2 linked regions of the Oryzias latipes genome follow. The protein of the gene in region 1 interacts with the protein of each later gene in a pairwise test. Links are inferred from orthologs where the notes say so. Each region holds a gene or a part of one and is shown in the gene's direction. Other genes may lie near its edges.

The links.
Region 2: the proteins of topbp1 (region 1) and cip2a interact in a two-hybrid assay, tested with the Homo sapiens proteins (2 studies listed by BioGRID). The link is inferred for Oryzias latipes from reciprocal best matches to the Homo sapiens genes TOPBP1 and CIP2A.

What each region holds. Positions count from the first base shown.
Region 1 is NC_019878.2:21,469,836-21,483,134, reverse strand, and holds the start of topbp1 (DNA topoisomerase 2-binding protein 1), read left to right. Parts: upstream 1-7,573; 5' UTR 7,574-7,639; intron 7,640-7,645; exon of another isoform or gene 7,646-7,990; intron 7,991-8,488; 5' UTR 8,489-8,495; coding exon 8,496-8,582; intron 8,583-8,686; coding exon 8,687-8,821; intron 8,822-8,897; coding exon 8,898-9,041; intron 9,042-9,443; coding exon 9,444-9,625; intron 9,626-10,147; coding exon 10,148-10,341; intron 10,342-11,183; coding exon 11,184-11,360; intron 11,361-11,456; coding exon 11,457-11,614; intron 11,615-11,711; coding exon 11,712-11,875; intron 11,876-12,791; coding exon 12,792-13,030; intron 13,031-13,127; coding exon 13,128-13,299. Other genes in the region: dnajc13 (dnaJ homolog subfamily C member 13), read left to right, coding at 850-1,027, 1,102-1,193, 1,264-1,363, 1,436-1,510, 1,598-1,710, 1,793-1,962, 2,035-2,077, 2,158-2,331 and 5 more. UniProt on the Homo sapiens protein: Scaffold protein that acts as a key protein-protein adapter in DNA replication and DNA repair. Composed of multiple BRCT domains, which specifically recognize and bind phosphorylated proteins, bringing proteins together into functional combinations.
Region 2 is NC_019878.2:3,263,629-3,275,523, forward strand, and holds the end of cip2a (protein CIP2A), read left to right. Parts: coding exon 1-25; intron 26-1,222; coding exon 1,223-1,444; intron 1,445-2,123; coding exon 2,124-2,286; intron 2,287-3,627; coding exon 3,628-3,775; intron 3,776-3,886; coding exon 3,887-3,986; intron 3,987-4,055; coding exon 4,056-4,174; intron 4,175-4,263; coding exon 4,264-4,438; intron 4,439-5,007; coding exon 5,008-5,082; intron 5,083-5,200; coding exon 5,201-5,311; intron 5,312-6,792; coding exon 6,793-6,989; intron 6,990-7,313; coding exon 7,314-7,427; intron 7,428-8,445; coding exon 8,446-8,528; intron 8,529-8,622; coding exon 8,623-8,762; intron 8,763-8,978; coding exon 8,979-9,125; 3' UTR 9,126-9,647; downstream 9,648-11,895.

The sequences.
Region 1 (13,299 bases):
TCACTGGAGCAAAAATTGACGTAATAAAGAAGAAAAAAGTCATATATGAGTCGCACTGAAATATAAGTTGCACTTTTGGGAGAAAAATGAGATGCTTCTAAACAACACCGCCAAGCCCGGCATAATGCTGAATTCACACCAAGCATGATGTACGCAAGAAATTCACATCAGCTGCCTCTCTTTCGACGTGCGTCGAATTTTCTGCTCAACACTTCTCCATAAACATGTTCATAAACTAGACACTTGCGTTGTGTTTGTGTGTGTGTGTGTGTGTGGGAGGAGCTACCATCAAGCGTATTTCGCCTCACTGCTACATGGAAGGCTTGACATGATACGGATGATGTCCAGAGATTTCAGTTTTATTTAGAAAAGCGCCACAAAGGCATCGGTAAGGGGTGGATGAGATCATTCAGAGACTCTCCCAGCATGCTGAGGTTATGCAGCAGAAGCTGCGTCTGAATGACGGACGCTCTCAGCGGCACTTCCGTGTCTCTGTAACCGCGTTTAATGACTTTCCGAGGAAAGAAAAGATGAAAACAAGAATGAAAATGACTCGAAACAAGAATATAAAGTTCAGGAGGAGAATGATCAGATTCCTCTCATGTTTGATTTGGACGGCGCTTCTTCTTCTTCTGCATTGCTGTCAGTAGTGAACACTGATACACTGACCTGCAGTGCCCTCTACTGGTTGTTAGTATGAAAGTTGCAAAGATATGAGCCTATAAATTCCAACCTCACACCTCAGTATGAGTCACTCCCCTGGCTAAACTTTACTGAAAAATGTGACTTGTACTCTGGAAAACACGGTAATAGGCATGATGAATAATGTACATTTTGGTCTGTATTTAGTATCCCAAAGCGTTTGCTGCCAGTCTGCTGGACTACGTTGGCTCCCAGGCCCAGTACCTCCACACGCTGCTGGCCATGAGCCACAGCAACAAGGTGGAGTCCCAGCAGCACGCCGAGAGGCTTCGCTTCGCTGAGATGGCTTTAGAAGCTCTCCGCAACGTCATCAAGAACAATCCTGGTAGGGAAGACGACACCAGAGTGCGGTGGTCCACAGAGGAATCCTGACTCTCTGTCATCTCTTTCTACGCACAGGTTCAGAGACCGAGTGCATCGGCCATTTCAAGCTTCTCTTCTCTTTGCTGCGCGTCCATGGAGCTGGCAGAGTGCAGCAGCTGGTTCTGGAGGTGCGTTTTATGTCCTCTCGATGCGTCTGTGTATCCCAGCAGATTGTAACGGTTTTGGTGTCCCGTTAAGGTCGTCAGTACTGTGACGTCAAACCAGGAATGTGTGGGGAACATTGCAGAGTCCATGGTGTTGTCCAACTTGTTGCTGCTGCTGCATTCTCTCCCCTCCAGTAAGAAACTTCACGGTTTTATCGTCTTTTAGGGTTTATAGTTTAACTTACTGACTTTGTTGCATCCTTCAGGCAGGCAGTTGGTGTTGGAAACCCTTCACGCATTGACGTCAAACACAAAAATTGTGAAAGAGGCTATGGCCAAAGGTCATTGCAGACGTTATTCATGTCTTCTGAAATGTTTTGAGTCTGAATTTTTGCAAGGAGACTTATGCGAGTTCTCTGGTCCCGCAGGTGCTCTCATCTATTTACTGGACCTCTTCTGTAACTGCACACACCCTCAGGTTCGCACTCAAACTGCAGAACTCTTCTCCAAGATGACCTCGGACAAGCTGGTTGGACCAAAGGTCCGTCTGGACAAACGAAGCTCGTCGCTCTTGTAAAGATCTTCATCCCGCTCAACGTTTCCATCTTCCCGTTCCCTGCTAGGTGCGCCTGACACTAATGCGTTTCCTTCCGGGCGTTTTCATGGACGCCATGCGAGACAACGCAGAGGCAGCGGTTCACATATTTGAGGGAACCCACGAGAACCCGGAGCTCATCTGGAATGACAGCTCCAGGGAGAAAGTCTCCACCACTGTGCGGGAGATGATGCTGGAGTACGTCTGACTTTTGATTCTCTTTCATTTGCAGTTTGTCCCTGTCTAAGTGTAACTTGTGCTTTTTTTCAGTCACTTTAAACAGCAGAAGGATAATCCTGACGTGAACTGGAAAGTAAGGATTTGATTATTGTCTGGGCTGGTTTCAGTTTTTGCAGTAGATAGATAAACGTGCGTTCTTGTGTGCGTGTTCAGCTGCCAGATGATTTCACTGTGGCGTACGGCGCCGGACAGGGTGAGCTGGAGGTCGGCGGAGTGTTTCTGCGCATCTTTATCGCTCAGCCCGGCTGGGTGCTACGCAAGCCGCGAGAATTTCTGGTTTCTCTTCTTGAAACGTTGACCGAACTGTTGGAGAAAAACAACCCAAACGTGAGCTCCTTCACCGCACCGACTTGTCTTTTTGAGGGAAAATGCATCCAGAGATTTCTCACTGTCACGTCATGTCACCCTTCTAGGGTGAGGCCCTAGAGACGGTTACCACGGCAGCCGTCTGCCTGTTCAGCACGCAGAGCCAGCTGGCTGACCAGGTTCCACCCCTGGGTCACCTTCCTCGCATCATAGCAGCGCTCAACCACAAGAACAACGCCATCCCCAAGAGCTCCATCCGCGTCATCCACGTCTTATCGGATAACGAGGCGAGAAATGAGTCAAACGTCACGTGTTTACTTTTATCAACAAGTAATCTAGCTAATGACTTCAAAGGTAACACCATTTCTGTCATCACCACCGCCTTGGTGGCAGCAAATTCTAATGATCGACTGATGGAAGCAAACAGGGGAAAGCCACAAACACAGCATGAGCAAGTCCCCTTTCTACAAAGGTTTTTAATTTAGGACTTCAAAAATGACAAAACGGCAAGAATGGACATGTGAAAGATGCACTTTGTACAAAAATAACCCGTTTTATTCATGAAGTGGAAGTTTACAACCAGATTTTTCTTAAGGCGCAACACAAAAAGCAAATAACAACCAAACAAGATAGTTACGGATACAGATCATTCAAGGATAGAAAAAAATGGGTTTATGTATTACCCCTGAATGTGAATGATAGAATAATCTCAGTACATGACAGGATAAATAATACTCATTATTAAAAACAGTCACTTTTATCCACTTTACTCCTAATTTTTTATCCAAAATAATCTAAGCTAATTTTTTTTCATTTTGTCTGTCCATCAATAGTTTTTCTTCCTCCTGTGTTTATCAACAAAAAACATAAATCTTTTCCCAAAGCTTATTATTACGAAACCAGTTAACCGTTTAAATTTTGAGATCTTCAAATAAACGTTTGAATTTGAACATCGGTGTATCATCTGCTAAAAGGATGACTTTCAGTACAGCTGAAGCTGAAACATAGTTTGAAGTGAATTTGTACACAGCGAAAACTGAATCTTCAAGTTAAAAGACCCTTGTTGACCTTTGCAAGAAAAATAATCGTATCTAGAAACATTTTCAGTATGGAAATAATCTTAGTTTGAGAGAACATCTCTGACTAGAATGAAAATGAAAATTATTGTTAAGACCATTTTTCTTTCCCCATTGGCAGATTTTTTTGCCAATCTAAAGAACATTAAATTATATCTGCAAAAAAATACCAACTACTGTTATCTTTTATTCTTGTATTGTGTATAAAAGAGCCTGAAGGCTGTTCCTTCTGTTTCTTTTTTCTCCAACCTTTTAAGCATCCATTAGTTTGTTGACAACAAGTAGGAAGTAATAAAAACAACTTACAAAACTATCATTTTAAATTTGTTTCACTATGATTATTATGTTTGTCCAATATTTGCCCCTCTGAACCAAACTCCCCAAATGTGGCCTAAAGCAGTCGAGTATCTTCATGTAGACATGCAAAACTGAGATTCAAATATGTAGAATCAAGTGTCATTGGAGCATTCTTTTCTCCTGAAAATGCAATTAAAAGGGAACGCTTGCTTCCTGCAGCTCTGCGTGCGCTCCATGGCGTCTCTGGAGACAATCGGTCCTCTGATGGCTGCGATGAAAGTGCGGGCAGACATGGCGGGCGTGGCCTGTGAAGCTCTGAACCGCATGTTTCAAAAGGAGCAGACGGATCTGGTGGCTCAGGTATTCTTTCTTCTTCTCCCCCCCACTACTACGTTGACTTTTATTTTGAAAGCTTTCTAACAGAATTGATGTAAACAGGCTCTGAGGGTGGATTTAGTTCCGTACCTCCTGAAATTACTGGAAGGAGTTGGTCTGGAGACGATAGAAAACCCCTCAGCTACCAAGGCCCAGATAGTTAAAGCTCTCAAGTCTATGACTCGCAGTCTGCAGTACGGAGAGCAGGTATGACGAAATCTTTTAGACTAATATTTGTTGGCCTTCTTGGTTCCATGATTGTTCATGTAACTGTGAACCCTTTTCTAATTTTGCAGGTTAATGAAATTCTTTCCAAGTCCTCAGTGTGGAGTGCCTTCAAAGACCAGAAACACGATCTTTTCATCTCAGACTCTCAGACAGCCGGCTACCTTACAGGTGAAGGGATTTTTATTTTACTCTTTTTACATTTCTGATTTACAATTTAACCTGCAACTTCTCTAACGTGATCAATTTCCTAAAAAGGTAAGTAATATCTGTAGTCTGACCCCTTGATGCTCTGCTTTACCCCTTAATAAAAACCACCTGGCTAATTCCTGACTTTATGCTCAAACCCAGCGACCCTTTTTCTCTCCTGTGACTTCCTGGTTCTTCCCTTCCTGTCCTCTTTTTCTGCCACTTGCGTTTCCTTCTTAGGGGTTTCCACTCCTTCTCTCCTGGCTGCCAGCAGCCCACTGCGAGGTGGGCTCTAGACTCCAGAACTTGGCCCTCCTCTTGCTTGCTCTGATGCAGGTAGACTCCAACCTGGCTCCCAATCTGCATTCATTTCCTGTTCCCTGTCTATCCTTATTCATCTAACAACTCTGTCGCACTCTGAGTCGTTTTTCGCCCCTCCACCTTAGATCTGCTCTTTAGTGAATCCACCCGAACTGCGTCTCTACTGTCTAGTTTGACAAAGATTCTTAAAATCGGAAAATCCATGAGGCCGATTTGCGGCTTCTATGTTTGCTTTTTCCAGTAACTAATTGACATCAAGTCATTTTAATTCAAAATGTCCAAAACTTGAAAAGTGCAGTTATTAAGGTGATCTTAAATTAATAAATGTAAAAAATAATTAAAAAAAGATGGCATCACAATGGGAGAAACCATCAAAAAATGAATGGGGTCAAAAAAAATAAAAATAAAGGACGTGTCTGGGATGTCCAAAGGAAGTTTAAAAACTGTTATAGAATGGCCACAGGACTAACTGTTTGATTTGGAAAAATGTTGGTTTTAATGTTTGTAGATTTTGAACACGAGCATTCCCCTTTTACTCGCACAGTTTTTACCAGAATATTGTGAAAGTTTTATACATGGATTGTCGGTTCTGGCTGAACAAAATGATATTACATACAGAATAAGCATATTAGGAATGTGCTTGACAAAAAAAAAAAAAAAACCTCTGTTGCCAAGGAAATCTGAAAATTTACTTTTGCAGATTCTTTTAGAAATTACTTAAATCAGTTCGTCACCTCCAGGCAGCCAAAACATGAAATGGTTGCTATGGAGATAAACTAACAGAAAAGCCACCATTTTGAAAAAGTTTTTTTTCTTTGTTTTTTCATGAGTTTTTGGCACAGGGTGACGGGGGCAGAATGGGAGAGTAAGGGGTGTGTAGAAGCTGCTCAGCTAGCCAAGGCGGGTAAAATTGGGGGCAGGTATCGCCTGCAGCCCATACAACGCCAATATCGGCTTTAATCTTTTACTAGGGTCCGGAAAATTTCACAACTGACAGTGAAGATTTGCATTGTCTAATAAGCTTTATCCCAAAAAATTCTCTAAATCATCTAAAGCCAGTTAAATGTAGAGAAGCTTAAGAGGTTTTCTAATAACTCCTGTTAAAAAAAAAAAAAATGTAAAAAAAGAACTCCCATCCATCATTTCTCGTGTTACTTTTATCTGCAGGTCCAGGAGTGGCGGGTTACCTAACAGCAGGAACTGGCACCACAGTTTTATCCAGTGTCCCACCCCCTGTGGACAATGACGTTGGAGACCTAGGCTGAGGAAGCGGCGTGCAGTCACGCTCAGACACTCGGACTGCCCCGCAGCCTCACCAACGGACTGTCTGGTCAGCAGAAAAAGGTCGGGGAGAGGGAAAACAGAAGAGCGGGCCCTCACCTTTTGTCACAAAATCTTTCAGACATCAATCTCCCTTCTTTCAAAAGAGAAAAAAAAATTATGCACTCAAGTCTTCATAAACCTTTTGTTTTTTAGTGACCACATTTGTTTTGTTTCTATTAATTTTTTCTTGTTTCTTTCAACAACAGAAAAAGTTTACTTTTGTATGAATATATTTTTTACTCTAGATTTTTTTCTAGGCAAACCAAGGCTTGTTATTTAGGGAATGTTTTTCTTCCTCTGATGCGTTAAACTGAAATTATTCCGACGGGATTTATTTGCCTCCATGGTGTCTGGACCTTTTCACCTCTCACATGACATGTAATTCACAAAACTGTCTTTAAAAATACACCAGTAATGGGGAAAAAAATGACTTTTTCTGTTCGGTTTGCGCAAATGAACAACTCTAGATCAAACCTTCGACCTGCATACGTTTTTGGGATCATTACACGAATCTGCTCCCCTTTATTTTCCAGCCTTCGACTCTTCATCATTGATTCTGTTTTCTTTAGTTTAATCTTCTTCCATGACTCATTTTAAGTAATTCTCCTCCCAGAAAGCAAAAAGCACTAGAATATTTATAAATGGAAAAATAACCACCGGAATGAGCTTCTGCTGACCTGAGTGACTGATTAAGAATATTTGTGAAAGACTAGTGCAATTTGTGAAATGTTCCATGTAATATTGCGTATATAAAATTTCTACATGAATGTACATTTAAAAATAAAAAATCTGTCACACTTGTACATAAAATTTTAAGAATAAAAGGGAACCCACAGTGTTGTTCTTTGTATGTCTATTTCTGTTTGTCTAATAATCAAATCTAGTAATCATACTATTGTCAAATATATATTTTTAATTGCTTAACATTCAGTTAAGATTATCTATATTTTTTATGAAAAGGTATCAATATTTCCACTACCTACTGAGTCTAAGTCTTCTTTACAATTTTAGGGTAATTTGGGTATTTCTGTAACTGATTAAATAAACAATCTTTAATATTATTGTATATTTATTCTTACAGAAGACGTATTTGTAGTCTGAATGACAGTTGGCTTTGATACAGATTTTTACAACAAATGTTTTGATGAATTTCTGTCATATAGGGAAAATGATTGTGTGGGAATGTATGGCCCAAAATAATTATTTGGGGGGGGATAGTGAAAACCAAATTGTAGATAAATTACTATTGACGTCACATGCCGGGCATGACTTTGAAGTTGTACATGCAGACATGTAGCTTTTTTAATTTAATTTTAACCAAATACATTTAGGGTGATTAATGGTATATGTTTCAAACTACTATTTTACTAGGACAGTGAGTTACATATGGACACTCTGACGGATATATATTTTTAAAGTTTTATGCTAAATGCGTGCCGTCCCGGCCAAGAAGAAAGATCTCCGATTCCACTCGGACACATTACGGAGTAACACCGGAAGTTACGCCGAAAGGCGCGAACAATGTAAACAAATAACTGCATTTCATTTGGCTGAGCCTGAGGACTTTTTAAAATTACTATTATTAGAATAAACTTGTATTTTTATGTCAATTTATTTATTCATTTTGGCAAAATAGAATGTTGAACACCAACTTACTTTACTTAAGTATTCTTTCGTTTTTGACAATTTGAATGTTAGCTAACCCGATTGGACGTTTTCTGTAAGCTAGTAGTAGTTTTGATCTAAATGAAAGTATAAACGTAGCGACTCCTTGAATTAAAAAAAAAAAAAAAGCATTGTACGCATTACACCAGACTATTGATTACATGCTGTCTGTATTGCGGCCTAAAGGACTGGTCTAAACGGATTTATAGGTAAGTACTTTCCAGTTTAAATATATTCATGATGATGTACTCCTTCTTGAGTCGTTCCATGGTCTGTAACATTTAGTTATGATGACAAGTTGTATTCTTTTGGCACATTTTAAACGTCTTCCCAATTCGGCGTCTTTTTACAGAATAAAATTCGCTAAATAAAAAAAAAAACTTCAAGTTAAAAGTCTAGCTAGCGTTCAGTGCTAACATTGAATGTTAGCTGACTCTGCCGTCCCATCATGTCCAGCAGTTAAACCTATTTCAGCTGTTATGCTGCACCCAGATTTTAGCAGCTTCCAATCCAAACAAACTCAAATGCTCCCCGGCTGTGTTTATAATTTTAATGATTTTTTTTTAAATCCTTAAATTACTGCTCCATCAAATGTACTTTTTAAATTCATTTTGTTTGATTTTTATTGCATGCTGATATAAACATGGCATCAAAAGTTGGGCACGTAAAGAAGATGTTCTCTAACTTTTATTTTGACTCTTGTGTAGACTCAACATGTCCAAAGTGGAAAAGGAGCGCTTTATTGTGAAGTTTGTGGAGAGTAAAGGATCTAATGCTGAATATGCTGTTAAAGCGTATGAGGTAAACACAACTGCACAGTCCTTTCTGCAGACGTTTTTTTCTGGATGTTCATCGATGTATATTTATTTAGTATTTATTATATAATTTTCATCCTATTCTAACAGGCCATTTTGGAGCTGCAGTCTGAAAAATATTTAAAGAAGGTTAAAGAGGAAGAGGTTTTACAGATGGAAGAGAAGGACAAGTCTCTGTTTGTGTTCAGCAGTTTTACCTCTCCTGCCTTTCTGCACTGCAAGAAGGTTTGTCGCCTTAGTGAAAGCAAAATTCCTGGCAGGATTTTTAGGAATGAACGCTTCGTTGCTCTGTGTTGTGCAGCATGGCTGTAGAATCGTGAGCCCCTTGGTGGTTTTGTACTGCCTGCAGCAGCAACGCTGCGTCCCAAAAGCAGAGAAGCCGGTCTACAACATGGCCATGGCTGATGTCACTATTTCCTGCACCAGCCTGGAAAAAGCCGCACGGGTGAGTTCTGGTCTGTCTTTGAAAAATGCTGAGACTGTTGCACCATTTCATTGCAGTTGTGTTATTTGCATGTATTGCACTGATAATGTTTTGAAAACTAGTTAATTAAATCTGTGCATCATTTCGTTTAATGCAGATTCTTGCATTTTTAGGCACAAATATCTCTGCTGTTAGTTTTTGATATAGAGAATAAAAGAAACAGTTTTTTTTACATGAAACCAGAATAGAAACTTTATAATTAGTTGTTGTTTTTTTAGGTTAAATGAAAACCCAAATGTGACCTCATGAATTGACACTAAATCACTTTTATGCTTTCACGGGCCACATAAAGTGACATGGCGGGCCACATTTGGCCTTCGGGCCTTGAGTTTGTTCATGTTTATGTTTTGTCTCACTCTGCAGGTGGATGTGATGGATCTGGTGCAGCTCATGGGTGGACGTGCCTGCCTTGATCTTAATGTGTCCGTCACACATTTAATTGCTGGGGAGGTTGGAAGCAAAAAGTATCTGGTGGCTGCCAACTTGGGTAAACCCATCCTTCTACCCTCATGGGTCAAAGCCTGCTGGGAAAAATCTCAGAATAGGTATGAACTGATTATTTTTGTTTTACATATTTGCTCCTGGGTGGCGCAGTGGTTAGCGGTCTTGCCTCATGGCAAGAAGACCCCTGGTTCAAGTCCCGGCTGGGGGACCTGAAATGGAACATCAAAAGGGGGTCTTTCTGTGTGAAGTTTACATGTTCTCCCCCGTGCATACGTGGGTTTTCTCTGGGGACTCCGGCTTCCTCCCACCGCCCAAAAACATGAGAGTGAGAGTGAATGGGTGTGTGATTGTGGACAGTCTACCCTGTGACAGACTGGCCAGGGTGTCCTTCCCCCACAAGTGGCCGGGATATGCTCTGGCAGCCCCGTGACTCCGAAAGGGACAAAATGAAAGATGAATGAATGAATCAATGAATATTTGCTCCTTTGTGGTCTTTATTATAAGTGCTAATAGTGTATTGTTATTTTTACTCTTTACACTTCATCACCCTAGTTTCCATAGATTACCGCTGATTCATAAAACTAAGTTTCTGTAGAGTTATATATTTTTTATTCTCTCTTCAGCCTTTTTAGATACACAGACTTGCCTATGGATGAATATCTGTGCCCCGTGCTGCTCGGATGCACCGTTTGTGTGACAGGCCTGTCCAGCACAGAACGCAAAGAGGTGCAGCGCCTCTGTGAACAGCACGGCGCCAAGTACAGCGGCCAGCTTAAAATGAACGAGTGCACGCACCTCATTGTCAGTGAACCAGCAGGTGAGACACTAAAATATAGAACAAAACTGGACTATAATAGGAATACCCGATACGTCCTCATTTTCATGAACATTCACTAACACAGTTACGAACTGTTTCATATTGTAATGAGTTTCTCTTCTTTTGTGTCATATTTTACTGTTACTAATAAAGCTTTGATAAAAAATGTACATTTTTTTACTCTACCACCCATCACTGCTGCTTTACAAGCATATTAGTTTGTGTTTCCATAATATACTGTCATGATGAAAGACGTTTGCTCTCACTACAATCACCTGATAAGTCAAAGCAGATTTAGATTCAAACAAACTTATCAATATCATTTTCATGCAGCTGTCTGCCTGCAATCATGGTGTGCCTGATGCTGTTGTGTAATCCTTTAGGGATGCAACAATTCCCTTTGGTTGAGGCTTCAATTTTTGTGTCACCGTTTTGTTTTTGTTTGATATATGATTTGTGTATTACAAAACGTCAACAACAAAAACAACAAAAACAATATGGAGAATTATTTTTTAAATTTGCTTTTAAGCAAGTAGCAATTAGTGTAATGTAATAAAATAATGTTACATATATTAAGTTTAGCACAACGCATGTGTTTGATGCTTACGGTGTAAACGTATTCAAATGTATCCACTTTGTGTCACCCCTCTTAGAATGAACCTATTAGTTTGTTGTTTTCCTGTAAAACTCTTCCAAAAGTGTAAAAAATCTGGAATTGTAAAGGTGATTGTTTTTAGAAAAAGTTTCTCATTATCAAAAAAAAAAAACAACAACAGCGATTTAGTAATGAAGTTAACACAACTGGTGGTGTTTTTGTTCTGAAGGTTTATGTTTTGTTGCAGGTCAGAAGTACGAGTGTGCTCGCAAATGGAATGTGTATTGCGTATCTCTGCATTGGCTATTTGACAGCATAGAGAAAGGTTTCTGTCAGGATGAGAGCAGGTACGCCGTGGAGCGCCGCGCGTCAAATACCAGCCGACCTCACACCTCAACCCCCACAGGCAACGGCAGGAAGGAAGGCGAGGAACAAAAAGGCTCAGAATTCACCTTTTAGACCTTAAAAAACGAAACATCTTTAACGTGTTGTCTTGTGAAACAACATTTGCCTCCTTTAGATGGTCCTTCGCTTTTGGGCTTGAGCAACATTTCTGTGAGTGGCAGTATGGCGATCAACGACACGGCCCTCACCATCAGCCGCCTGGAAACGGCCGATCCCATAGATGGTTTGGATCTCACCGTTTGTCCTGCTGATGACTTACTGGATGGCTGTAAGGTAAATCACTGACAAATTCCATTTTACTGTCGATGCTTGTTTGAAAGTGAAGTGCAGGATTTGAAGGCAGGACTCTTCTGCGCTCGCTACTTCACAGCTGTATTTGTGCGGCCTTCCACTGAAGAAGCTGGAGAAGCTGCGGCGTCTTGTCAACAATGCAGGAGGTCTACGTTTCAACCAACCAAGCGAGGAACTCACACATGTGGTGATGGGAGAGCCGGACCAGGAACTCACAAAGTTTCTTTCCAAAGCAGCTTACAGGTTTGATAAAATCCCTGAAATTCTGTGTCTAAATATTTAATGTTTTTTTTCCCTTAAACTGACTCTAAGCTTGTGCCGCTTGGATTGAGTTAAACGTCAATTTAAGTATTTAAGTTCTGAGTTAATAATTTCTAATTTTTTGTGATCAAGCTGCATCCAAATATTTAAAGAAATTGCAGATAAACTTGAATTATTCGGATGTAAAATAAATAAATAAAGTAGGATTTTTTTTTTAGACATTTAAATGGAATTAATATTAAATTTAGTTTGCCATTTAAGTCACAAATTTTTACATTTCTCAGATTTTTGATGCCTTTTTTAGAAACTGTAGATGTGATGTCAATCATGTAAAATTAGGATCAAATTAAAAAAACAGAAAAAAGTGTAAATTGAGGAATGAAAGTAAAAAGGGAGAGAAAATAACAGCAGCTGTTATAAATAAACATTTTCTTTTCATTTGGTAACAATTTAAGGTTTATAGTTTTCAGTCCTTCCGATTTAAAATGAACATTGTTTAAATTTACAGTGTTTACTATCAAGTTTAAAAAACATTTGAATTTTCTTTTTTTTTAAATTTACAATCCAATTTTTTGATTAACTTTAAGCTGAACCTGATTGTAACCCTTTATTTTACAGAACTGTTTGAACAGACCGAAATTCATTTATGACCATTAAAAGGCTTCGATTTAACCACAACTGAAAGCAGAAAGCGATTGTCAATCACACAGAAAACTCTCTGTTTCATTTAAACATTTAAAGCAGATTAAGCATAAAATGTAAATGGATTTATGGATTGGCCATAACGTATCCAACATCATCTTTCTTGTAATATTTAGTAAGGATCAAGAAATAAGTGTGTTTTTGAATGTTGAGAGGCAGGAAGCAGTTTCGACGTTTGCTGTGGTCTTCCTCACAGGCCTCATGTAGTCACGGTGCAGTGGCTGCTGGACAGTTACTCCAGAGGCAGGCTCCTTCCAGAAGCTGAGTATTTGCACCCCGACTGCCTGCCTCCCGATTCTGCATCCGTGCCCGCCGGTCACGTGGTGAAGCCCCGCCTTTCGGCCGGTCCACCTGTTGCCAGCCCCAGCACCCCCAGACAAAACAGACTGGAGGAGGATCTGCTCTCTCAGTATATGGACGATGATCCCACAGTGGGTAAGAATCTGTTTGTTTGTTTTTAAGACTCTGGAAGAAATTGGTTCAAGTTCAGTGGATCTGAGAGCCAATGCTTCTCCCCGCGTTCATCCTCCAGTTGATATGCCACCACCAGCTGCAGAGAACAGCGGCAGAAGGTCGATCAGTGCGGCTGCAGAGCCTCAGTCGAAGCCCCAGGCTCCCAGCCTCACCAGGGGACCAGAGCAGGACTCCGCTTTGCAGGAATTCAGCGAGACGGGCCTGTTTTCTGGGAAGTCTTTTCTTTTCGT
Region 2 (11,895 bases), about 18 Mb from region 1:
CAAAGATGCTGACTCTGCGACAAAGGTGAGATGATCATTTACTAAACACACAGTTGATGCTAGAGGTAACTAAGTCATGAGCAGATGAGACTGTGAAACCTGCCGCTGTAAAGCAGAAGAAAAAGCATTTTTATGTGAATTTAGTGTTCAGTATTTTACAAACACAAATAGTTTTTTATGTCACTGCTCGGCTGCTTTAGTTATTCCATCCATCCATCCATCCATCCATCCATCCAACCGTCTTTTTAACCCGCTGTATCCCTTTCGGGGTCAGGGGTCCTGCCAGAGCCTAACAGTCATACACACTCACAGTCACAGCCAGGGACACTGGAGAGTTATCAGTTAACCTCTGAAGCATGTGTTTGGACGGTGGGAGGAAGCCGGAGTGCCTGGAGAAAACCCACGCATACACGGAGTGACCATGCAAACTCCACGCAGAAGGGCCCCGGCTGGGATTTGAACCAAGGCCTTCTCACTGTCAACCCAGAGTGCTAACCACTACGTTATTTATGCATTATAAGTTAGGGTTAATGGCAGACGAAAGGCGCATTTTCAGAGATTAACGCACGCCATGGAAGCCTGAACCGTCCGACGCAAAGCGGAGTTAATGCTGATGATGCTCACTTCGAAGGCCATTATCCCACTTATACCATGGTCACTTACAAAAATAAATAAATATCCAACTCGTTTTCAGTACTTGATTCTTGTTATTTTTACAGTTTGGATCACTGTTTTCACAAAAAGTGGACTATTTGGTGGTGCGACACGTGACCGCTTTTTTTTTGTCCAGAGGATGGAGTTTGTTTTAAAGAAGCCAGCGCAGTGATATAGAACATTTAGGCGTGGTATATCACTGTGGTATATCACTTTTTAATCCACACCCAGCAGCCAATCAGAATCGAGAATTCACCCTGACCATGCTATAACTACTTATAACTAGAGCAGCTGCTGCACATCAGTCTGTGAAGGATTATGACAGCTTCAAAACTCATTTTCCTCATGTTACTGTTTGTATAAGTTCAGCCTAAAGGTCAAAGGAACTGTGAGGACTCAGAGCTGCTCACGCTACAGCAGACAGTTTGGATGGAAGCTTTTAAAGCAATGGAATCATTGGTTCCTGTAAACCAGCAATGTCCTTTCTTCCCAGAACAATGAAATGGAAAGCAAAGCTGGGTTCTGAAAGGTTCTCCAGGAAATCCTCTGAACTGTCTGTGTTGTGCAGGTGCTGGAGCTTGTCCTGGCCATGTGCTGCGTCTCCGGCCTGCGCTCGCAGCTGTGCGACGTGGTCTTCAGGCCGGCTGCACCCAAACTCAGAGCTGTGGGCCGAAAGCAGGGTGGGGGCCTGGAGTGTGGTCTGGCTTTGGTGCAGTGGCTGACCTCGCCTGTGGAGGGCGCCGAGTCCTGCTCACTGCAGGTCCTGAGCCTGCTGAACAAGCTACTGGAGGTAGGACATGAAGACAACCCATTAGAGTGGGTCAGTGCTTTAAAATGCAGCTTTAAAAGTCATTTTTCTGTAAAAGGTGCATTTTATCATCCTGCTGCGTCAATTCAATGCTGGTGGTGCTGCTGCATCCAAACGCCTTAAAACACGTAGAAAAAGAAGGTTTTGTGCGTTTCTAGGAGGAACATTGTTCAGCGGAAGGTTTGTTTTAAACCTTAGTTCTGCTGTATTTCAGACTCAGACTTTACATGAGCCCCGCCGTCTGGGGCTTTAGTGAGCTGATTTAAAGTCACTATGGAAACCAAAGAAACTAAAGCTTCAAAGGGGAAAGCCAGAGTTTTCTTGTTGGGTTTACAACCAGCACTTTTTGTTTCTGTACATTCACATGCACACATTTAATTTTTTCTTTGAATTTTCCCAGCCTCCTAAAGCCCAATTCTGTTGCAGTAAACATTAAAATGTTAACATCTGAAGAATAAAGTTGTTGTTTCACAAATACAGTTGGAGCCAGTTATCTGATCGCACTGTGTAACACATCCATGGCGAGTGACTCATGACCACTGTCTCGCTGCTTCAGTAAAACTCTGTCACAACGCCCTCATCTTCGTCAGACCTGCGTCATGAATGTTCTCCCCATTGCCCGTGTGGTGCAGGTTCTCGTCACGACTCTCTCTCCTCTCAGGAGTCGCTGGCAGCAGAGAGCGTGTCTGAATGTGCGCTGAGTTTTGTGGAAATGCTCCTTCCGGTCCTGCTGGGTCTCCTGAAGAGTTTGGATCCAGCACAAGGAGACGCGGTCCTCAGGAAGCATTGCCAGCGTGTCACACATGTCACCAACCTGCTGCTGAATATCCTCCACAAACATCTGATGGTCTCTGTAGAGCAGGAGTCTGCAACCTTAAACGCTAAAAGAGCCTTTTGGAACAGCTTCTTCCAGGTCAAAACCCAGTGAGAACCGCTGAGTCCCACTGCACCATTTAGAAAATACATTTGTTTATTATAAATACAGCTGTTTATTTATGAATGTAGCTTTTAATTATTTACAATGATTAAACTACAAAAGTGTTTTATTTTTCTAGGTGGAACAATTTGATCTCCAGAAATACATGCTCCTTTCAAAATAAAACACACCCTGTGTTATGTTTCTCCTGCTGCAGCAGATTTACCTGTTTTGAAAATGCAAGAACATTAAAATAAATAAATAAAATTAATTAATTAATTAATTAATTAATTAATTAATTGATTAATTAAAAAAATTAAATAAATAAATAAAAAAATCTGACAGCATTCGTGTAAAATCCAATTTTTGTTTTAAATGTATACATGTAAATCTTTTGATCTACTTTCCCAGTGATCTTTGAATTATGATTATAACGTTTTGAGCCAAGATCGAAAATCTGTGTCATTTTCTAGGACATAGTTTCTGCAGAGCGACATTAGTTAATCAGAAATTTGTATCTGAGTTGTGGGCGGAACCATTGGCGTGGAAAGCCTGCCCTAATTTCCCAACATCCTTTGTTTACACTCTCTCCCACTAGCTCACAGCCCCTCACACCCCACACCTAACATAACTGGTGTAGCAAAAGTGGCGATCAATATCGTAGCTCTCCAGCCGTCCAGTTTAGATCCAGACGTTCATGGATCTGTTTGTCTGACAGTGGATGATCAGAATGGAGCACAGCAGGAAGACTTTGACCCGCTCAGCGTATTTTCTACGTAAAAAGTAGACGACCTTTTTTAACGTTATTTATTTCTTCCTGATTCACAACAATTTGAATAATGAAATACAATTCTAGGATCAATTTTCTTTATACAAGATGTCCATCAAATACCACAAGATCATGTTAAAAGCGCCCTTTTAATTGGATTGCATCTTTAAAGAGCTTTGTGTCTGAACAGCAACCACTAACTATTCTGCAGCAGAAGATCAGAACAGGGCTTTAAGCATTTTCTAATAATAAACCAATTTGACAGTAGAATAAACCTTTTACTGCTCAGTGATCTGACTTAACAACCTAAAAAGAAATGATAAAACTTAACAAAATAATCCAAGCTGCAAATGAATTATTTGTTGTAATCATTTGCATTAAAGAGCCACCTTTGGCTGCGGGGGCGTCAGGTTGCAGACTCCTGGTGTGGTGTGGTGTGGTGTGTGCAGCTCTTCCCCTCTGAAGCCTTAACTCTGTCACCTCTGTGCTTGGAGGAGTCCAGCAGGTCTGTGGTATCAGCTCAGGTCAGTGCTCAGCTCTGCCTCACACAGGTAGAGACTCTCCTCTCCTGTTGTCATAGTAACGGCTCAGTCACCCTGCATCCCCCCCAGTGTGAGGATGACCTTAGGTGAGAGTGTCTGTCTGTTGTTGTATGATTTAAGCTGCAAACATTTCCAATATGCACGTCCGGTTAAAGGGCGGTGGTAATGCAGATGTCACTGGTGCGGTTTTCTTACAGTCAGGTCTGCGCAGAGGCTTTGCTGAAGACTTTAGAGTTAATGAGCAAACTGAGGCAGCAGGTGAAGGACATGGAGACCGGCTTCTACAGGATGTTACAGGTGCTCCTCATCATCATGCATCTTCATCTGCTGCTTTGAAGTTTGGCTCTAACTTGTTTCCCTTTGCAGGATCAGAGGATTGTGACTCCCCTCTCTCTGGCCCTGACGTCCCACCACAGAGAGCATGTGCAGACTGCTCTCGCTCTGCTGCTTGAAGCCACGCCCCTTCCAGACTTCCCCTCAATGATGTGAGTCATAGGCCAGAAAAAGTAAATATTGTTTTCTAATAATGCCTATAAACAATTTTTAATAATTTACCCCTTTTTTTGTTCTCCAGATTAGGAGAAAGCATTGCTGCCCACAATGCATATCGCCACAGGGAGGCTGAGCTGTCAATCAAGAGGCTTGCCGTGCAGGAAGTCCCGCCTCCCAGGGTGAACAGCAGCATGGACACTTCCAGCTCCTCCAAGACTATCAGCAGTCTGGCGGAGAAGATCCAGAGTGGGCTGGAGGTACAACCTGCGCCAGCGTCTTACTATGACAGTGAATGCATGGAAACACATGACTGCAACCCCCCCAGCATCCCACAGACCTGTGCCGCCAATCACTGACTTACCTTTCACTGGTTAGACTTGCTCCTTCAGTTTTGCGTGTTCACTGGGTTTTAATGAGCTTTCAAGTATCAGAGTGAAGCACAAATATCAGTGCAGTGCTGATCCTTTTGAAACAAAGAAGTCTGATTAGTAAGAAGTGAGGCTGCTAAGAAACACATTCAGCATTTCAGTTAGTTTACAAATGATCCATTTATTCTGTCTAAAAACAGCTTCTTTTGGTTTGAAGAAAGTTTTGATTTTAATGAACTGATGAGTCTTCTTTCTTCATATTAGTTAGCAGCTGTCCTCTGTTAGCAGTTGTTATTGTGCCGCTGCAGGCTCAGTGGGCCCTCTCTCCTGTTGTGCAGAGGTGGGCGACGAGCCAGGAGGTTTTTCTATTCTGTAGATGGTTTGACATTTTGAACCCTGTGCTGTTGGCCTCGTGTGGCCTGTCTGCGCTGCTGAACCCTCTGTGTTTCTGCCGGCAGCTGCAGGAGCAAATGAAGGACTCGCACGTGTCGGACATCATTGAGGTCTACGAGCAGAAGCTGGCTGCGTTTGCGGTGAGGTTTCCCGAGGCTTGTTTCCCGTTTGCTCGCCGTTTGAGCTCACTGTCTTATCTCAGAGCTGCACTTCAGCAGATGAAGCTTTTGTAGCAGATGTGTCTGTGTTTCCCGTCAGTCTAAGGAGGGCCGTCTGCAGGACTTGTTGGAGGCCAAAGCGTTGGCGCTCTCTCAGGCCGACCGTCTCATCGCTCAGTACCGCCTCCAGCGAGCTCAAGCAGAGGCAGAGGTACTGCAGACGACCTGTCAGAATTCAAACCTTTGTGAAAGATCCAAACTCTGAAAGCAACATGGTTGGACAGATTCCATGAAGATCTTAGTATTTATCAAACTGAATGAACACATAAAGATTTACAATCTTAAGGATTTGAAACTATTGATCAGTAGATCTTTCTACAAACCAAGGTATTAGGCCACAATGGAAGGCTACTTTTATAGAAGAAGAGCGTTTGTTCTAATGGTAAAAATTAGATTTTTATACAGCATCCTGGTGCTGTGGATTAGAGTCCCACATGGGTCAATGTAAGGACCGGAAGTATTCATCCTATATGTCAATGATATGATACCACATTTAAAATGTGGCATTTAGGCACATAACTGATCACTTAAAGAATATATAAATAGCTTTATTAGTAGCTCGCCTCGTGATAAGTCAATTGTTGTAAAAGCTAAACATGAATGTTTGATGTTGACCTTTCTGCATATCCTAGATTTTTACGCTGGATGCCCTTCCTGACATAACCCTGTATTTTATCTGGCCTGGGGACCGCTGTAGGTACTATAACCGTTCGGCCTGGAGCTTCCGTTCGGCGTCCTGGGGCTAATGCTGACGTCACATTATGTGATTGGCTGTACGTTGTTCCGATGACGTGTCAGATAGTGATTGGTCTGGACAAATACTACCATAGAGGAAAATGTTATAAAGTCTGTTGTAAACAAACGTGCCTTTATTATTGTTATAATTATTATAAAATTAATGTTCGCTTATAGTTTTTTTAAATTGTGCGTCCAGTGCTTCATTATTGGCAGAACGGACCCAAAAGCACAACATTTAGCCGTGCTAACAACATTTTCAGCCACGGCTGAACTTAAGCTGGAATAACAAGCGGATTGAGGCAAAATCTATTTATAAAAATTACAAAGAATATTGTCAGACGCAATTTATGAGGGAAAATAACTTTAGGTTACAAAAGGGAACGTGAAATGAAAATTTGCAGATGTCGATGCTACGTAGTTTGTCCAAGTGGGGTTACCGTAGTGTGACGTTACCTTCAGTCAAAAGGACCCCGAACGGAAGTTCCAGGCCGAACGGTTGTGGTACCTACACCGGCACAGGGGGACCCAGACTTGTGGCCCCTTGTGGCTACATAGTTGGCTACAGTGTTGAGGGTCTAAGGACCTGCACTGGATGAAGCTCATCATCCCCCCTGGGAAACTAACCCTGATTTTCTATGTGCCAATCTTCCAGCTGCCTTAAACCTAAACCGCAATACATAACCGTGTTAATTAATAAAAGGGATAACATTGAGCCAACTATTGACAAAATAAAAACTGATGCAGTGTTTTAAAATAATAGATCTTTGTGAAATCTTATTCAGACAAAAGACAGACTTTGCCGTCCAAGATGCTGTCGATTCAGAACAGTAATTAGAAAAAGGCTACAGATGTCAGAGCTCAATGCGGATGGTTGCTGAGGTTTTCCACCTGCAGGCTCGGAAGCTGGCGAGTCTGTTGAAGGACGCCGAGCGCCGGCGGGAGGATCTGCAGGGCAAGCTGAGCTGCCAGGCTCTGGAGGTGGAGCGATCCAAAGCCGACATGGGAGAGCTGCTGCAGCACAACAGCCGACTGCAGAGGGACTCTGAGGAACACCAGGCTCTGAAAGGAGCCTACAACTCCCTGCTCAACAGGTCAGAGGCAATTCTGAGGAGCATTTACATCAACCCTGCAGGCTTATTTCTGCTTATGAAATAGCTTTTGGTTGTGACTGTGTGGGACAGCTGGACCCCTTCTTTAAGTAGAAATTCTCAACTTTGTTTACCTTGATGCAGCTTTGCTAGTTTCTTTGGCCAGTTCCTTAATCCGGTGGCGTTTATGGCAGGTCTTGTGTTACTTCATGGCCTTTATATTCTCAGAACCAAGCATTAAATGGCTCATTGGTTAAAGGCTTTAGTAATAGTGTGTTGGAGTAAAGACCCCCTGGTTTTTATCTTTCTGGAACATTTCCTCTGCAGGTTTAATGAAACAGAGCAGCTGCTGAAGGAGCTGCAGACCGCTCACATTCTTCTCACCAAGCAGAGCGACTCTCTGAAGAAGACCCACGATGCTCTTCAGCTGCAGCACCACAGGTGATTGTGTCTGAGTCCTGCCCCCTCATCTCTAGATGAAGGTTTCTCCACCCAGTTTTTACACAAAACACGCAATCCATCTGTGAACAAAACTGCTGATTTATGCGACCAAATGCTAAATAACAGCATCAGCAAAAGGAGGTTAGGCACCAAAGTCCCAACGCTGAATCACTTACTGGAACAAAACACTTCCCACCAACAATGTTACCTCACATAATGGGGAGGAAAATGAATATAATGACAAATACTGGCCTGGATTACTAAAGCTTAGCAAAACAGATCCAACTACAAGGAGCTGCATTTCCAGAAGAAAATGCAGGCTTGAATGCTGAACTGCTGAATGAGAATGAAAGTTAGAGTTATAATTGGCAAAAGAATTTTAAATCAATAAATGATCAAAGTTGACCATAAATAAAGTGAAAACAGCACAACAACAAAAAAGGTATGTTTGTGAAAAATGCCAGAGCCGGGTATCGAACCAGCGAGCTTCAGCACCAAGGATTCCCCGTGGATTTCAATGTAAGCAGAAATCCTGGAATATCTTGAAAAGGTCAAGGATTTGAAGGTCCAAAAGTCACAGCTGGAAAAAGCTGGAAGAGCTGAACATTTGAATAGTTGAATAGATAAAATAGCTGAAAAATTGTAGAAGGAGTTAAGCGGCAAAAAATGGCAGAAGATACTATAATTAAGAAAGAAAAATAGGAAAACAATTGGTTGAATGCTTTATAGCATTGTCAGTTCATCAACCATGAGACACTAGCAAAGAGAGCTGGGCAGAGCAGACCATGATTCAGCAAACAACCCCGTGGTTCTGATCCTGTCGGGGGTGAAGACCACCAAGCTCTGAACCGCCACAGCTGAGCCCCCCTCAGAGAGGTGACACAAGACGGTGATTTTAGGGAAGACTCTTCACAAAGATCCACAAAGCGCAGTGAGGTCCCACTCTGCCACAAAGACAGTCCACAGCTGCAGGCCTTACAGCCTGACGTCTCTGCTGACGCTTCTGTTGCTTCTACAGGACGGCGTCTGCTCTTCAGGAGAGAGAGGAGGAGATCAAAGCACTCCATTTAGAGATCCAGAGGAAAAACAGCGACATTGCAGGTCAGTGTGGAAGCTCTAGATCACTCATGGCTGAATTTGAGAGCTTTAGAGGGTGTATTGGGAATGCGCTGTCTTTGCTTCTGTCCTCTGGCAGGTCTGCGTGTCAGCCTGCAGGCCGAGGAGGAGAAGGTTCAAGAAAAGGAGACAGAGAGGAGAAACCTGGAGGAGACTTTGGACATTTTGAGGAAAGAGCTGAACAAAACGGAACAGGCCAGGAAAGACGCCAGCATTAAGGTACGAGGCCATCTCATCACCCTTAGACATGTGCACTCTCTGTCCTTTCAATTTAACACAGGAAATGTTTAAGATTAATATTCTTTATTCAAATTATGTGATTGAACACTGTTAGCACAGAAAACAATGTTTTTGGTGTCTCAAAGCTTTCCGTGTGCTATTCTGTCTGAGAAACTTCACATGGAAGCAGCGGCCTGAACATGTTCTGCTTTGCAGGCTTCCTCTCTAGAGCTGCAGAAGAGTCAACTGGAGTCAAAACTGAAGCTCAGAGAAGAGGAACTGAACAAACACTCTGCCATGATCGCCATGATTCACAGCCTGAGCAGCGGCAAGATGAAGAGCGACGTTAACCTGTCACTCTGAGGGGCAGCAGATGATTGGCTGAGAAAATCCTAATTGAAACACCGTCTTCCATGAACTTCAGAGGCCTTTGAGAAGACTTTCACAACTGAGGAAGCTTTTTAGATTTAATAAAACGCTTAAAGAATTACTTTTACCCAAAATTGATATTTTATTGACATTTTAAAATCACTTTTTATTTGACAAATAAACAGTGGAAACGTCATTGTGGTCAAACTTCAGATCCAAGTGATTTGCTTTGGGTTGAGTTGATCTTTACAAGCTGGAGCCTCATGTTGTTCATATCTGACTGGAAAAGCATTTTCAGAACAGGGGGGCAGCTCCCTCTGCTGGTACAATGTTGTTGGTGCAATTTCTAAAGAAAACCCAGACTGACAACAGTTCAAGCTTAAACACAGGGGTGGAATCTTTAGCTTTTTAAAAAGCTGGGCTACTGGGCTGCATGCAGACGGCCCTAGGTTTTCTTCCGCAGTCCAAAAATGTGTTTCATAGCTTACATTAAAATGCTCCCTGGAGCTGACTCAGGTCTGGTTGTTTGTCTCTGTGTGGCCCTTGATGGACTGGTGCACTATTCAGGATTTACTGACAGGAGCTGGGTCAGATCCAGCTCACCCATGATCTCAAACAGAACTAAGCGGGTTTAGAAGGTAAAAGTCTTCACCACGGACATTTCTATTCTCTTCACAAAGTGCATCACCATCTGACGATCCTGAACTCCAAACTTCTCCATCACTTCATCTCTGTTCCCTTCACCCACATGTCTGTTAGAGTTTGATCCAATCGTCACTCTCTCCTCTGGAGAGCCTGGATCTCCTCATCCATCTCCCTCCAGAATTTCTCCTTCTCCTCTGCAGCTCCTATTCTACCTGGGGGTCATAACCCCTGACAACATTCAACATCACACCTTCATCTTCCAGCTTCAGACTCATCCTCCTATCTGACTCTCTCTTCACCTCCAGAACCTCCTGATCAAACTCCTCCTTCAGGATCTCCTCCTCTGCTCCTCTTTCCATCCACATCATGATAAAACAGCTTGGAGCTGCTTCCAATCTACCAGTCTGGATCTCTTTCCATCTGAAAACACAGCAGATCCATCTTTCTGCTTTCTAAAATGTTGACCAACTCTCTAGTTTTCCTGTCAAAGTTCCTACTTATCTCAGTTCTTCACTCCTGTCTTTCCTTTGTCTCTGTGGACAAACTCATCTTCCTTCTCTTCTTTCAACAACAGTCGTCCATCTTCCACCAGGACCATGTAGATCATCAGTACCAGTGTTTGTCATTGTTCATCTGGATGATGACCATTCTGGAAGGAAAGTTCTCTTCATAATTTTAGGATTGATTGAACTTTGTTTTTTTTTGTCAAATGTCTCTCCTGACAAAACTCTGCATTTATACGGACTTGGGACAGGCACGCAGTAGTGTTGGATTTTGCCCCCTTGAAGTTGAATTATTCAAACTACTGTCTGCAGCAGCCTTGGTTTCAGTTCAAAGACTTGAGCAAACCTGGTGATGTGGACAAATATCTCTAAGATTTACCTATAACTTCCAGATTCTGCATGCAGGAAGTGAATCCATTCTAACTCCAGTGGGGAGCTCTGTGTGATGCTCCTCACAATCGCTCTGTAATGGACAATTGGTTTCTTACGTCTCATTCCTTTTTCATAAATGGCCAATAGAATTGCTCTTTGCTGTTTCCCTAATGTTTCATTTTGCCCTGCTGGTGGGTTAGTATTGTGGGGATCTGCCCTCATGAGCTCTTTCTGTCTTTGAGTTTTCCTGTGCAACACACCAAAGTTTGCTCCATTGTTTAAAACTCTTTTCAAGTTTTTGTGTCAAGGCTCTGTGTTCTTCCTCTATGGGATTTCTCTGCTGCTCACTCACGATTGGTGGTCAATGACTGAAAAAAGCTCAGCGTGTTGCCAGTTTGAACATAGCACTGAAGGAGCTCATACACCATCCTGCTGGGATGGTGGTAGGATATCCCAGTGGAAACAACTGCTTATTTTTACAGTGAACGGTGAACACTTACTTACATTGGTGTCTGTATATAGGGCACCGTAAAAGGACATCATCATCCACATTTAGTTTATTTGGTTAAGACTCTAAGTCAAGGATGAAATTGACCGTTTGCCCTAACCCAGGAGTATTTTTGATGTCAAAACTACTCTGGCTTCATGAATTCTATAGTTTAGTTAGGTCTCACCATCCCAGACCCCTGCACCTTTGATGTGCAAGATGCGATGGAAACATCAGGAAGAAGGAACATGAGAAACTGGAGAAATACCAGGGACTCAGAGAAGAACTGGAGAAAGCCTGGAAAGTGAAGGTGACAGTGGTGCCTGTGGTAATTGGAGCACTCGGCGCAGTAACCCCCAAGCTGGAGGAGTGGCTACAACAGATCCCTGGAAAGACCTAAGACCTCTCAGTCCAGATAAACGCAGTGCTAGGAACAGCTAAGATACTGCAGGACCATCAAGCTCCCAGGCCTCTGGTAGAGGACCCGAGCTTGGAGGAGAAACCACCCGAGAAGGTTGGAAAGAGAATCCAGAAAAACATCTCTCTTTTCACCGTCACAGCAACACATTTGGCTGTAGAAAGGCCATCAACAGCTGGGAAGTCTTTCACACTTCTTGACCTACATGTCTTTTTCAGAGACATGATTCAAAGTGACTTTATACTGGGAGACTCTTTGGAAAGAAGTCTCTTGCTTCTGACAAATGGTGATGGTTGTCACTCTTTTAACTCAATATCATGTAACACCCAAAATATATGA